4 linked regions of the Nothobranchius furzeri genome follow. The protein of the gene in region 2 interacts with the protein of the main gene of each other region in a biochemical or structural test. Links are inferred from orthologs where the notes say so. Each region holds a gene or a part of one and is shown on either strand. Other genes may lie near its edges.

The links.
Region 1: the proteins of sumo1 (region 2) and rad51 form a complex in vitro, tested with the Homo sapiens proteins (2 studies listed by BioGRID and IntAct). The link is inferred for Nothobranchius furzeri from reciprocal best matches to the Homo sapiens genes SUMO1 and RAD51.
Region 3: the proteins of sumo1 (region 2) and usp25 form a complex in vitro, tested with the Homo sapiens proteins (2 studies listed by BioGRID). The link is inferred for Nothobranchius furzeri from reciprocal best matches to the Homo sapiens genes SUMO1 and USP25.
Region 4: the proteins of sumo1 (region 2) and rnf111 form a complex in vitro, tested with the Homo sapiens proteins (3 studies listed by BioGRID). The link is inferred for Nothobranchius furzeri from reciprocal best matches to the Homo sapiens genes SUMO1 and RNF111.

The regions. Positions count from the first base shown.
Region 1 is NC_091743.1:91,872,525-91,876,312, forward strand, and holds the end of rad51 (DNA repair protein RAD51 homolog 1), read left to right. Parts: intron 1-2,300; coding exon 2,301-2,430; intron 2,431-2,651; coding exon 2,652-2,773; intron 2,774-2,872; coding exon 2,873-2,996; 3' UTR 2,997-3,286; downstream 3,287-3,788.
Region 2 is NC_091743.1:83,218,427-83,221,149, forward strand, and holds the end of sumo1 (small ubiquitin-related modifier 1), read left to right. Parts: intron 1-51; coding exon 52-129; intron 130-240; coding exon 241-312; intron 313-586; coding exon 587-655; 3' UTR 656-2,203; downstream 2,204-2,723. Other genes in the region: claudin-34, read right to left, coding at 2,361-2,723. UniProt on the Homo sapiens protein: Ubiquitin-like protein that can be covalently attached to proteins as a monomer or a lysine-linked polymer.
Region 3 is NC_091750.1:42,750,409-42,753,928, reverse strand, and holds part of usp25 (ubiquitin carboxyl-terminal hydrolase 25), read left to right. Parts: coding exon 1-131; intron 132-222; coding exon 223-293; intron 294-362; coding exon 363-591; intron 592-3,520. UniProt on the Homo sapiens protein: Deubiquitinating enzyme that hydrolyzes ubiquitin moieties conjugated to substrates and thus, functions in various biological processes including inflammation and immune response.
Region 4 is NC_091749.1:59,511,175-59,514,694, reverse strand, and holds part of rnf111 (E3 ubiquitin-protein ligase Arkadia), read left to right. Parts: intron 1-861; coding exon 862-1,222; intron 1,223-1,317; coding exon 1,318-1,443; intron 1,444-1,598; coding exon 1,599-1,716; intron 1,717-3,286; coding exon 3,287-3,367; intron 3,368-3,520. UniProt on the Homo sapiens protein: E3 ubiquitin-protein ligase. Required for mesoderm patterning during embryonic development. Acts as an enhancer of the transcriptional responses of the SMAD2/SMAD3 effectors, which are activated downstream of BMP.

The DNA.
Region 1 (3,788 bases), about 8.7 Mb from region 2:
CAATAGAGCCAACAGATATAGTCAGTCTACAGGGAGATAAAATGCTACAAGAATTATTACAAGTTCACATTTGATGTTTTTCTGGCTTTTTTGAAAGAAACTGAACCTGATTTGTTGCTAAACAGGAAAGGATGTTTATTATTATTATTTATTAAAGATCATGTTGCCTCTGTTGCTCGTTCATGCCGCTTTGTTCATTGAGCTCCACTGGCTACCGCTAGCAGCACGCATCAAATTCAAATAGCTAACACTAGCATACAAAGTCCGAGATGGAACGGCTCCCATCTACCTGAATCCTCTTGTAAAGGCTTACGTCTCGGCCCGGCCGCTCCGGTCACCACAGGATGGTCGGCTAGCAGTGCCTACACCACGCTCAGGACAATCCAGACTCTTCTCTTGCATCGTTCCACAAATGTGGAATGACCTTCCAAGCTCTACCAGAACTGCGGCTTCCTTTTCTATTTTCAGGAAACTCAATTTCCCTCTGGGATTAATAAAGTATTTTTGAATTGAATTGAATTGAAGACCCTGCTCTTCAGAGAGCATCTTCTAAACTAGCACCCTCCCTGCACCCGTCCCCCCTCTCTACTGTCCACTCCTTGTTCCCTCCTCTCCATGACTGATGTCAAGTTGTTGTTGTTGTTGTTGGCCTCAAGGGCAACATGCCGATTATCACTTGTAAGTCGCTTTGGACAAAAGCGTCTGCTAAATACATAAACATGAACATATTATAGCGATGAGTTCACATTTTCTTCAAAAAACTTCTCAAGATCTGGCTGTAAACATAAAAACTTGCAGCGAGGGAAAACGGTTTCCTCTTACACGAAATAGCCAATCGTAGTAGAGCCCTTCCAGCCAATCAGAGGCGAGAAAGGTAGGACCTTCCTTGGACATTCTAGAATGCCAAATGACGCTTCCGGGGGAATCCCGAGGTGTTCCCTGGCCAGGTGAGAGACATAGTCCCTCCAAGGTGTTCTGGGTTTCCCTTTAGGCCTTCTCCCGGTTGGATGTGCCCAGAAAACCTCACCAGGGAGGCGTCCTGACCAGATGCCTGAACCACCTCAACTGGCTCCTCTCGATGTGGAGGAGCATGGATCTACTCTGTGCCCCTCCCGGATGACTGAGCTTCTCACCCTATCTCTAAGGGAGAGCCCAGCCATCCTGCGGATAAAACTCATTTCGGCCGCTTGTATCCGTGATCTCGTTCTTTCGGTCACTACCCAAAGCTCATGACCATAGGTGATGGTAGGAACGTAGATCCACCGGTAAATCGAGAGCTTCGCCTTCTGACTCAGCTCTCTCTTCACCACGACAGACCGGTACAACGCCCGCATCACTGCAGACGCAGCACCAATCCACCTATCGAACGAGCCCGACGTACTACCGGCAATGTGGACCAAGCTCTGACACCGGTCATTTAGGGCCCTAACTGCCTGTATCAGAGGGCCTGGTACTCAATACCCCTGGAGTACGCCCCACAGGGCCCCCAAGGGGGTCAAATTCCTTCTCCAAATCCACAAAACACATGTAGGGAAAACTCCTACGCACCCTCCAGGGCCCTCCTAGGGGTATCGAGCTGGTCCAGTGTTCCACGGCCAGGACGAAAACCACATTGCTCCTCCTGAATCTGAGGTTGGACAATCCGACGGACCCTCCTCTCCAGAACCCTGAATAGACCTTACCAGGAAGGCTCAGGAGTGTGATCCCCCTGTAGTTAGAACACACCCTGCGGTCCCCCTTTTTAAATAAGGGGACCACCACCCCGGTCTGCCAGTCCAGTGGGACTGCCCCCGATGTCGACGCGATGTTGCAGAGCCGCGTCAGCCAACACAAATAACAATAACATAATCTAGCTGTGCCAGATTTATTTTCTGTTCATTGTTTACCCAATAAACGTTTTCAAAGAATGTTTTTCAACACAAACTGGATTTGATTTTAGGTTTTCTCTATTAAAGACGGTATTCAGTGATTTTACACACAAGTTATGCACTTTCTAAATAAGATTAACCTCTCTTGTATATTTTTGCACGTTTATTACTTGCTTTTTCGGGGGGGGGGGGGTGATTAATTGCGATTTAGTTTTTTTAGATTTTCAATTAATTAGGTAATTTATTTTAATTGATTCCTGGCCTTAGTTTTTTCTAAATATTTATGTAAAGATCGTAACTAAAGTCAACAGCGGCACACTTCCTGTATGCATGTGTGTTGGGCGTCGCTTGATGCTCTTATTTTGAAGGGCTTTAAGTGCAGCTGGTGTCTTGGCCTGTAACCAGTTACCTCCTGTGGTGTGTGTGTGTCAGGTATGCTTTGCTGATCGTGGACAGCGCCACGGCTCTGTACAGAACCGACTATTCGGGCAGAGGGGAGCTGTCGGCGAGGCAGGGACACCTGGGACGGTTTCTGCGTATGCTGCTCCGGCTGGCGGACGAGGTAGGCTGGACGCGCTGATGTCTGTGGCTACAAGTTCAGGAAATAGTTATTCTATCTATGGAATTACCTTCTGATGGTGAAATCCAGACTTGTTTATTTTCCTGCCTGATGACTGTGTTTGTGCATGCGCTTGTTTGTTTGTTTTCTGGATGAATGGGAGATGGGTACTTGTTGATGGGACCCATTTGGGCTCCTGAAGTCTCATCTTTGTGTTTCTGCAGTTTGGCGTTGCAGTGGTCATAACCAACCAGGTGGTGGCGCAGGTTGATGGGGCAGCCATGTTTTCTGCAGATCCCAAGAAACCAATTGGAGGCAACATTCTGGCTCATGCCTCCACCACTCGGTGGGAACACCTGGCCTTGGCCCTGAAACAGAACCTTTGTGCCTCTTTGCTGTTGTGTTGCCGTAGGTGTTCCTAACACTTTGTGTCTCACCTATGCAGCCTGTACCTGAGGAAGGGTCGAGGAGAGACCAGGATCTGCAAGATCTACGACTCCCCTTGCCTGCCGGAGGCTGAAGCCATGTTTGCCATTAATGCCGACGGCGTTGGCGATGCCAAGGATTGATCCGGCTGAGCAGCAGGAAGTCGTGGCTTGGACTGTTTAGCTGTGAGGCCACTGAAGACCAGATGTTTCCTGCAGACCAGTACCTGGATCGTACTGGTCACACCAGTGTCTTATGTTTGTTGTGAACTTCTGAGAGTTGTACTGAAACACCAGGATGGGATGAAGTCATGAATGTTTCTGTTGTAGAAGGTATGAGAGGGGTGAGGGGTGGGGTCTGAAAAAGCAACCGCTCGTTTCTAATGTCCTGATTTCTGTATAAATACTAGATTAAATGTGTTTTACGATGACAACATTTAGTTTTCTTACAGAAGCACTAGAGAAGCCCACTGATGGTTCATCTGAACTTTAATCATCAGATCAGAGAGCATGTTTGTTAACGGTCACCGGTGGAAAAATCTAAACGTTCAATGGACGATGAAAAAAGATGCATGACCTCCAACATTAACCGGAACCTTCCCCAGTCAGAGGTTCCTGCAGGCCTCACCTCAAACCCAATACGGCCACCGCATGCATGTTGGGTTGTGATGGCCGTAGAATGGACCGCTTACTTTCATTTGTTTGTTCGTATATCAGTGACTTGATCTCTCCAGCTCAGTGGCCTAGTGGTAGAGTGTCCGCCCTCAGACTGGGAGATCAGGGTTCGATTCCTGGTCGGGTCATACCAAAGACTTTGAGAAAATGGGACCCAATGCCTCCCTGCTTGACACTCAGCATTAAGGGGGTTGGATTCGGGGGTTAAACCACCAAATGGTTCCCGAGCGCGGCTGTGTCTGCAGCTCACCGCTCCCCCAG
Region 2 (2,723 bases):
AGTAAATGAACAGATTCTCATTGCTGCCTCACCCTTTTGTTTGTGCAACAGGACAGCAGTGAAATCCACTTTAAGGTGAAAATGACCACACATCTAAAGAAACTCAAAGAGTCGTACAGCCAGAGACAGGTACGATCAGCTGTAGCTCCTATTGCTGCTCGATTCTTTACTCTAAACCAAACAAAGAGAAACTCGACGAACCCAAACGTCTTCATGTGTCCTCTGGTGCTTCTCTCACAGGGCGTCCCAGCGAGCACACTAAGGTTTCTGTTTGAGGGACAGAGAATCGCAGACAACCAGACTCCAAAAGAGGTAAACATGGCCGCCGTGGCCTTATTATTCTGTCATGTTGATGCTGAAACTGTTCTTAGTGTGTTCATTCTCACCGATCTGTTTTGTTTACGCTCTGAACCTTTCACTGACTCGTTTATCTGGGCTGCTGTCGTGTATTTTATAGTCACGGTTTGTCTCCGGAGTCCTAACAAGATGATTAGATCAGCAGCTTTTCACTATATCACAGATGTGGGACTGTAGGAGTTACTAACGTTTCTGGTTTGCTGATTTCTCTGCTGTGTGTCGCTGGCAGCTTGGGATGGAAGATGAAGACGTCATCGAGGTGTATCAAGAACAGACCGGGGGATTTTGGAACGATTAAACCTCTCAGTTTATTATTATTTTGATTTTTTTTGTTTTGTTTTTTGTATGTATGTATTGTTGTTTGTTTTCAAACCATCTGGATCATAATGGACTCACTGGGCTTCCAGGTGTGAGACAGGGAGGTGCACAGACAGCAGGTCCCTGGTTCTGCAGATGGAGGACGTTCTCGTTGTCAGCCCGAGCTTTAGCATTCTGCGTCATATCGGATTCCCACAAATCATGCCTCTGTGTTGCTGCTTTTGTTTTTTTTAATCACTTGTCAAAGGGTTCAGAAATAAACGTCATAAAAGCAAATGTTAAAAACACGTACTGATTTTTAAGTGGCTGTATGAGTTATAAAAACCAACAACGTTGTTGTCCTGAAGCCCGGATATTTCACACCGTTTAAGACTTTCAGCTCTGCTCCTGTTTGGGAAATGTCCTCAACGAGAAATAAATGGACAATATCCAGATTTAGTTCAAACGAAGCAGGAGACGGAATTTCTAGTGTTGCTTGACTTTAGCTCTTTAAACTAAGATGTGAGTGGTTTTATTTTTTTTTTATATATAGAAGTAACTTTTAAAGTGTTTGAAACGGTCCAGGCAGTGAAACACGTGTCTGCTTCTAAAAGATTTTATAATTTCTTTGCAACTTCAGGGCTTCAGAGGTTGCCATGACAACAGCTCTTTTACTGAATGGTCAGAAACCAGAATGTGTCTTTTATATTTAACTACCAATGTAAAATGATGTTTTCATTTAAATAAAAAAACCTTTTGATTCTAAATTTGGATTTTCTAAAAACACTTTTTCTGTGATCCAAAAGGATCCCAGGAAGCTTTTCAGTAAATCTTAAAATGAGTTTCATTTTCTACTTTTACTGGGGTGGTTCAACAGCCCTGTCTCTGCTCAGGCTGGGATTACTGGGCCGTAATCTGGGCTTCTGTGGATTAAATCAGTTTTCTACATCTCATCCAAACTAAAACTTCTCTGCTGATATTTTATGACTTTTTTATTTTAGTCGTGCTTGTCTTGTATATTTTGTGTTCAGCATTAATGTGTTTGAATGGAATAAAGTATATATAGATGAAAACTTTCTGCTGATTCTGTCCAGCAGTTCAAATGTTTTTAAGCAATGATTTTGGTGCTTCTTTGGAAGCGTACATGTCTTGTGATGAAATCTGAACCCGATAAAAACAACCCGAACTGCTTCGTAAAGCTGGATAAGGATGTGATCCGATGTTTGACAGCATGAACTGACCTGAGATCAGCCGTCTCTACTGCCACACGAGGGTTTTCTCCACCATCTGTAACAATGTGGAGTTACATCTGCTTAAATTATAGACATACACTTTAATAAATGAGTTGTTTCCTTCCAGAGATGCATGCAATAAAAAAGTTCAGAACCTTTGGTTTAAACTTGTCGGTGTTTGAATAATGAGCAGCTCAGGTGAACTCGTCTCCACCTGAACCGGGAGGGCTGTGATTGGGTGGAGGAACCTTGATGCAGATGGTTTGAAATGATGGGAGATGTGATTTTTTTATTTGAATAAAATATTTAACGGAAAATGCTCGTGTGTGTGTTTTATTGTGTGCTTGTTCTTAAAAATATTTCTACTCCTGCTGAATTGGAAAGAAAAACATACAAAATGCATGAACCTGTGATCTTAGTTTTGTACAAAAGTCATTCAAAATAAAGATGAGTCATGTGGGGTCTCAGAATAAATCAGAAGTATTCAGCCATGTCAAACGCTGGGTTGTCTTTGCCACTGGGGATCACAGCCTTGTGGTCGTTTGGTCCTGATGCTGAGGAAGTGCTCTGATGCAGCTGCTCCAGCACAGAGTGAAGCATCATGGGTATTGTTCTCTCTGGCAGTTTGTACGAACAGAACACAATCCCAGACACAATCATGAGGACAGAGCCCACAATCCCCACGCCGATGCCTCCTCCCACCTGCTGGGACTCTGGTGCCCGAGGAAACTCGAACTCGGGTGGAAACGCGATGGTCTGGTTTGTCACAACTGAGCTCAGATTCCAGAGGAGAGGAACAAGGGCTAGCACAGCTGCCAGCAGGCACAGCACCCCGGT
Region 3 (3,520 bases), on a different chromosome or scaffold from region 2:
CTTCACCCACTCCCGGCTACGCCCTGACCTGCCCATGCACCCTGCCCCACGCCACATCACTGAAGAAGAGCTGAGGGTGCTCGAGGGCTGCTTGCATCGCTGGAGGAGCGAGGTGGAGAACGACACCTGTGGTAAGTCTCTGAGACCACTGCTGGAGATGGACACAGAACGTTTGATTTGCACACATTCACTTATTGGACATGACGGTCTTCCTCCTGTCAGACCTGCAGGGCAGCATAAGCAGAATCCACAGATCCATAGACCTGATGTACTCCGACAAATCCATGATGCAGGTGAGCAACACTCACACATCGGTGCACATCACCCGGCAGCTCCTTTTGACCTCCCTTGTATTTTTGTAGGTTCCATACCGGCTTCATGCAGTGCTGGTCCACGAAGGCCAGGCCAACGCGGGTCACTACTGGGCGTACATCTACGATCCTCATCAGTGTTGCTGGATGAAGTACAATGACATCTCCGTCACCAAGTCGTCCTGGGAGGAGCTAGTCAGGGACTCGTTTGGAGGCTACCGCAATGCCAGTGCCTACTGTCTGATGTACATCAACGACAAGAAGCCATTCCTCATCGAAGGTGAAAATCAGCCGCTGGCGTTCATGTGTGGTAACGCCTAATATTTTGTCAAAATTGAAACTAGAACAGTGCTCTAGAACTGGTCGCATTTGTCATGCATCAGCTGGTAATTCTATTAATTATTAAGGAAAGGATTCATTAAAATCAGTTGTCAAATGTATCTGGACAGCTCAACTCTCCAGAAAACTTGTAGAAACTAGGGAAGCTCCGATCCAATCCCGTGATCAGAAACCAGGCCCAATCAAAAGATTTAAAAAGGATTGGGAGTAAATGATCGGAAAACACGACTTTTTTAATTTATCCTGAGAGAGAGATTTTCAGATGGAGTAACAATGGCTTAGTTGCCATTAGTTGGTGGAAACGTGCATTGATCAATTCAGCTGCATACCGAGGGAGTAAACAACTTGAAATATAAGCAACGATGGTACTTTTAAATATGTTCATAATATAATGAACATATTTTACACATATCCTGACACTGTTTTATAATCGGTGTACTTCCTAAACTAGTGAAAGTGAAACTTTAAGGACAACGTATTTTAATGCTTTCTTGAAAATTATCAATTCGGACTGTATCGGTAGATGACTCCGAATCGAATCGGGAGCAAAAATATGTGATTGCAACATCCCCAGCAGAATCGTTGTCAAACTGTTGACTAGTAGCAGATGAAACAAACGGTTTGATCTGAAACCCTCAGGTTAAAGTTCAGGGGTCTCATGTGTAGCGTTATGGATTTATGCTCTTTTATGAAAGAGAAACCGTGCTACGTATTAATTCGGAATATTAATTTTAATAAATCAATAACCAAATTTTATATTGTTCAGAAGACTCAAAGGTTGTTTTCATCCATAAACTGCCGATAATATCTGAGTGTCTGTGTTTCAGTTCAATGAGGAAACAAGTTTGAAGGATTAAAAGTTTTAATTATTCAAATTAAACTAATGATTTTGGAGCCAGGCCTGGGGTTGGGGCCCGTGAGCGAGCGCCTGGTGGCCGGGCTTTCGCCCATGGGGCCCGGCCGGGCCCAGCCCGAACCGGATACATGGGCTCGTCCAACTGTGGACCCACCACCCGCAGGAGGAACATGAAGGGTCCGGTGCAGTGTGGATCGGGTGGCAGACCAAGGCGGGAGCCTTGGCGGTCCAATCCCCGGACAAGGAAACTAGTTTTTGGGACATGGAACGTCACCTCGCTGGCGGGGAAGGAGCCGGAGCTTGTGGCAGAGGTTGAGCGGTACCGGCTTGATATAGTCGGACTCACCTCGACACATTGCATTGGCTCTGGAACCCGAGACCTGGAGAGGGGTTGGACACTCTACTTTGCTGGAGTTGCTCCGGGTGAGAGGCGGAGGGCTGGGGTTGGCTTTTTGTTAGCCCCGAGACTCTCTGCCTGTGTGTTGGGGTTTACCCCGGGGGACAAGAGGGTAGCTTCCTTGCGCCTTCGGGTCGGGGAACGGGTCCTGACTGTTGTTTGTGCTTATGGGCCAAATATCAGTTCAGAGTACCCACCCTTTTTGGAGTCCCTGGGACGAGTGCTAGATAGTACTCCATCAGGGGACTCCATTGTCCTGCTGGGGGACTTCAATGCTCACGTGGGCAATGACAGCTTGACCTGGAGGGGTGTGATTGGGAGGAACGGCCCACCTGATCAGAACTCGAGCGGTGTTTTGTTATTGGACTTCTGTGCAAGCCGCAGTTTGGCCATAACGAACACCATGTTCGAACATAAGGATGCCCACCGGTACACTTGGTACCAGGGCAGCCTAGGTCACAGGTCGATGATAGATTTTGTAGTCGTATCATCTGACCTGCGACCGTATGTTTTGGACACCCGAGTGAAGAGAGGGGCGGAGCTGTCAACTGATCACCACCTGGTGGTGAGTTGGATCAGATGGCAAGGGAACATGCCGCGTAGACCTGGCAGACCCAAACGCATAGTGAGGGTCTGCTGGGAACGCCTGGCAGAAGAACCTGTCAAGACGGTCTTCAACTCCCACCTCCGGCAGAGCTTTGACCACGTCCCGAGAGCAGTGGGGGACATTGAGTCCGAGTGGGCCTTGTTCCACTCTGCGATTGTCGAGGCGGCTGTTGCTAGCTGTGGCCGTAAGGTGGCCGGTGCCAGTCGTGGTGGCAACCCCCGTACCCGCTGGTGGACACCAGAGGTTCGGGGAGCCGTCAGGCTGAAGAAGGAGGCCTACAGGGCGTGGCTGGTCTGTGGGTCTCCGGAGGCAGCAGACAGGTACCGGATAGCCAAGCGGGGTGCAGCAGTGGCAGTTGCCGAGGCAAAATCTCGGGCGTGGGAGGAGTTTGGTGAGGCCATGGAGAAAGACTATCGATCGGCTCCAAAGAGGTTCTGGCAAACTGTCCGGCGCCTCAGGAGAGGAAGGCAGCAACTCGCTCACACTGTTTACAGTGGGGATGGGGAGCTGCTGACGTCAACTGAGGCTATAGTCGGACGGTGGAAGGAATACTTTGAGGAGCTCCTCAATCCCACCAATGCGCATTCCGAGGAGGAACCAGAGCTGGGAGGCCTGGGGATGGACTGTCCGATCTCGGGGGCAGAAGTTGCTGAGGTAGTCAAACAACTACACAGCGGCGGAGCCCCGGGGGCGGATGAGGTTCGTCCTGGGTATCTCAAGGCTATGGATGTTGTAGGGCTGTCATGGTTGACACGTCTCTACAACATTGCGTGGTCATCGGGGGCAGTTCCTAGGGAGTGGCAGACCGGGGTGGTGGTCCCCATCTTTAAGAAGGGTGACCTGAGGGTGTGTTCCAACTATAGGGGGATCACACTCCTCAGCCTCCCTGGAAAGGTCTACTCCAAGGTACTGGAGAGGAGGGTCCGATCGATAGTTGAATCTCAGATAGAGGAGGAGCAATGTGGTTTTCGTCCTGGCCGTGGAACTGTGGACCAGCTCTATACCCTTGC
Region 4 (3,520 bases), on a different chromosome or scaffold from region 2:
AGAACAGAAAGCCAGACATTCATCTCCGGTTTAATCCAGTTTACTTAATTATATCAGAATTTCAGGAATTTCCTGCTGCACTGTGATAATTCATTTGTGATGCCATAGCGTTGGTGGAAATAGTACACTCACACACACACACACACACACACACACACACACACACACACACACACACACACACACACACACACACACACACACACACACACACACACACACACACACACACACACACACACACACACTCCTAAAACCTAATGCTAATAGTAATTAAGAGACTGATGGTTAATGTCCCAAGTGCGGTGGGAGCTGTTCCAGGCAGGCGAAGTTAATTGGTACTCAGAATAATTTAGTATGGAGAGTGAAACCGTCTCACAGGCCTCCTGGTGTAGGATGGATCTGTGGCTGCTGGTTCCACCTTCTCTTCTTGTACCTCGGCCATAAAAGATGATGAAGAAATTTGCACCAAAACAAAAAGGAAAATGCATAAATGAATGGTTCGTGGTTCATTTAAATGACAAACATCATGTTTTATTGATTGAACACAGCATGATGGTTAGATTAGTTTAAGATTTGTCCTAATTTAGAGGACAGAACGGGACTGTTTGGAACAAAAACCGTTTTGCACGGGCGCAGCAGTCATCTTGTTAGTTTCACAAGAACAAATCAACCATTTTCTTTAAATGAAAGTACAGATTCAAAAAGAAACTAAATGGTTTGTTTCTGGATAAAACAAAGAAACATGAATATTTATTAGATGCTCATAAGAAGAGTGTTCATCTGGAGTTGTATCATTCTGTCGCTATAGTCAGAAAGTTGTTTCCTGATTGTTTTCTTTGCGTTTCATTTTAATTTCAGACGGTTCCCTAACACGATCGCTGCACCATCAGCCCTCCTCCGCCTGCCCCCATTCCCATGGGAACCCCCAACTGACAGCTCAGCCTCCTCCACAGGGCGACATTTTCGTTCCCCACAACTTTTCCCCACCCTTTCACACACCGCTGCCATCACACCCTCCGGGGCACACCGTGCCCCCCGCCCCTCCCCCTCCCTTGTCCACCCACCACCTCTCCACTTCAAGTGCCCCGCTAGCGCAGCACCTCCCTACGGACCACCAGACCCTGTCGCACCACATGCCATCTCTGGCGCAGCGGCTCCATCAACACGAGATGCTGCAGAGGATGGAGGTTCAGCGGCGGAGGATGATGCAGCACCCTACGTAAGTGTTAGCATCATGATGCTATAAAAAAAGTCAACTTTTATTTATGGAGCCTGTTTTCCCCCTTTTTTTTTTTCATTGTCTTCCTTTTGCAGGCGAGCACACGAGCGTCCACCTCCACACCCTCACAGAATGCACCCCAACTATGGTCATGGGCACCACATACACGTGCCACAAACTATGTCTTCCCATCCGCGCCAGCCGGAGCAAAGAACAACATGGTCCGTATCGGCAGCAGCCAGTTAGTTTTTAGTTCCACCCAAATTTGTTTTGGTTTAAGTCGGTAATTTAAAAGTTAAAAGATGTTTTAAATGTTTAAATTCTGTTTCCTGGTTTAAAAAGTCACACCTAGTGACGCTTTACTGTTCGCCAACAGGGAGCTTGGCATCGAGGCTAGTGTTCCCGTGGCACCGTACACTTCAGGGCACCTCCACCCCCACCTGCCCCACTATCATGCCCCCCCAAGACTGCACCACTTCCCCATCTCCATCATGGTAAGTGAAACCCTCAGCCCGCACGCTTACGTGATAAGTCTAGCCGAGAATGCTTATTTAGAGCATCGGTTATCTCAAGGATGGTTTTGTAAACGTTATGAATAATTCAGAAGCAATTAGCCGCGGCTCATCAGGCACTTGGAGTGCACGCTCAACAAATCCTGGATCCTTGACTCACATCCAGCGTGTCTTTAGTTTGCAGCTTTGTGATGCGGTTCATCAGTTTTGTAATTAGCTGTGACTTTTACCATCACATGATTACCATGAACACTTTTAGAACCGCATATCCTGATCAGGAAGTCAACATTTATAGATGTTTTTAGAACCGATGATGATTTTCTCTCATCGATGTCGATGCTTCAAAGTATTCAAACTAGGGTTGTCACGGTGTGAAAATGTAACCTCACGGTTATTGTGACCAAAATTATCACGGTTTTCAGTATTATCGCGGTATTTTTTTAACGTGTTGCCTTTTCAGACAACTAAATAAACCCTGTATGTCAGGAAAATATTGTCCTCAGTTTGTGTCTGAATTTTGCCTAAAATGTGTTATTTTGTAATTATGTTGTTTATTTGTTTACATTTTTAGTCTTTAAAATACCAATATTTGCCCATAACTTATTATTTTTTGTCTGTTTGATGTCGTCATTTAAAAAATATTAGATCAGATGATACTCGGTACTCAAGTAGCCTTCTAATCAGATACTTTTTTTACCCTTACTTGAGTAATAAACCCTATATCAGGAAAATATCGTCCTCGGTTTGTGTCCTTCCAGTGAGCTTTGCAGATGTGGGAAAATGTCATCAGGCAGTAATCATTGTTAAATTCATAATTATTCTCGGAGAGAGACCAACTCTTATCTGCCCCTGGGAGCCCCGTAATGCATAGCGTCATTTCAACATGGGGGTGTCCGCAACACGGTTTATATGCAGGTAGCGGCGCTGCGGCTGCTTTATATAGCGACTCGTTGCATTCTCCCTCAACCCAAATCCTCGGATCACACATTTTAGCTAAAACGCTAACGTTAGCTTGCCTTGCGTTGACTGTAGAGTTGTGGGTGATGGTCACGCAGATGTGTCATGAGATTTGAAGCGTTGCTGCCTTTCACAGACACTTTTTCTGCACGTGCTGCAAACAGAATAGCCGTCTGTCTTCTATCAACTGTCCCTCAGCATTCTTCAAATATCCAAAAAAAATGCCCGTACTTCCCACTTTGTCTTCTTTGAGGGATAAAAATGTCCTGAGTGCTGCCATCTCCTCCTTTGGCCATTATTTCAGCTTTAGCTTCAAGAAAGTTTTGGTTGTAAACAACAAAGTGCTCATGTGCTGCCGGCAACTTCAGCAGATGATACGGTGGCTGGTAAGGGTCACCGCTCCTACACCGCAGCCACTGTAATCCACCGAGATAAATTTTTTTTTTAAACAAAACAGTCATTATTAACTTTTTTTACCGGGGTTTACCGCTACACCGGTTACCGTGACAACCCTAATTCAGACTGGACTGTTGATCTTTTCCCTGGGTTTGTAATAATGTGTGTGTTTTTGTATCATCTTTGGTTTCCTCCATAGCACACTGGCATTTCTGAAGTGACCTATCCACACATTAGGTACATCTCATCTAGAATGACTGGCTTTGGAAGAACTTATGAGGTGAGTTTTGCATTTCCCAAAGAGACAAAAACCATAACATAAATGGTTTGTGCTTCGTTCGTCTCCTCTTCTTTTGCTGTTTAATTACCACAAAGATTATTAGTAGTAGTAGTATGAAGTTGTCCCAATACTGTCTGCATTTGAAATTTTGTT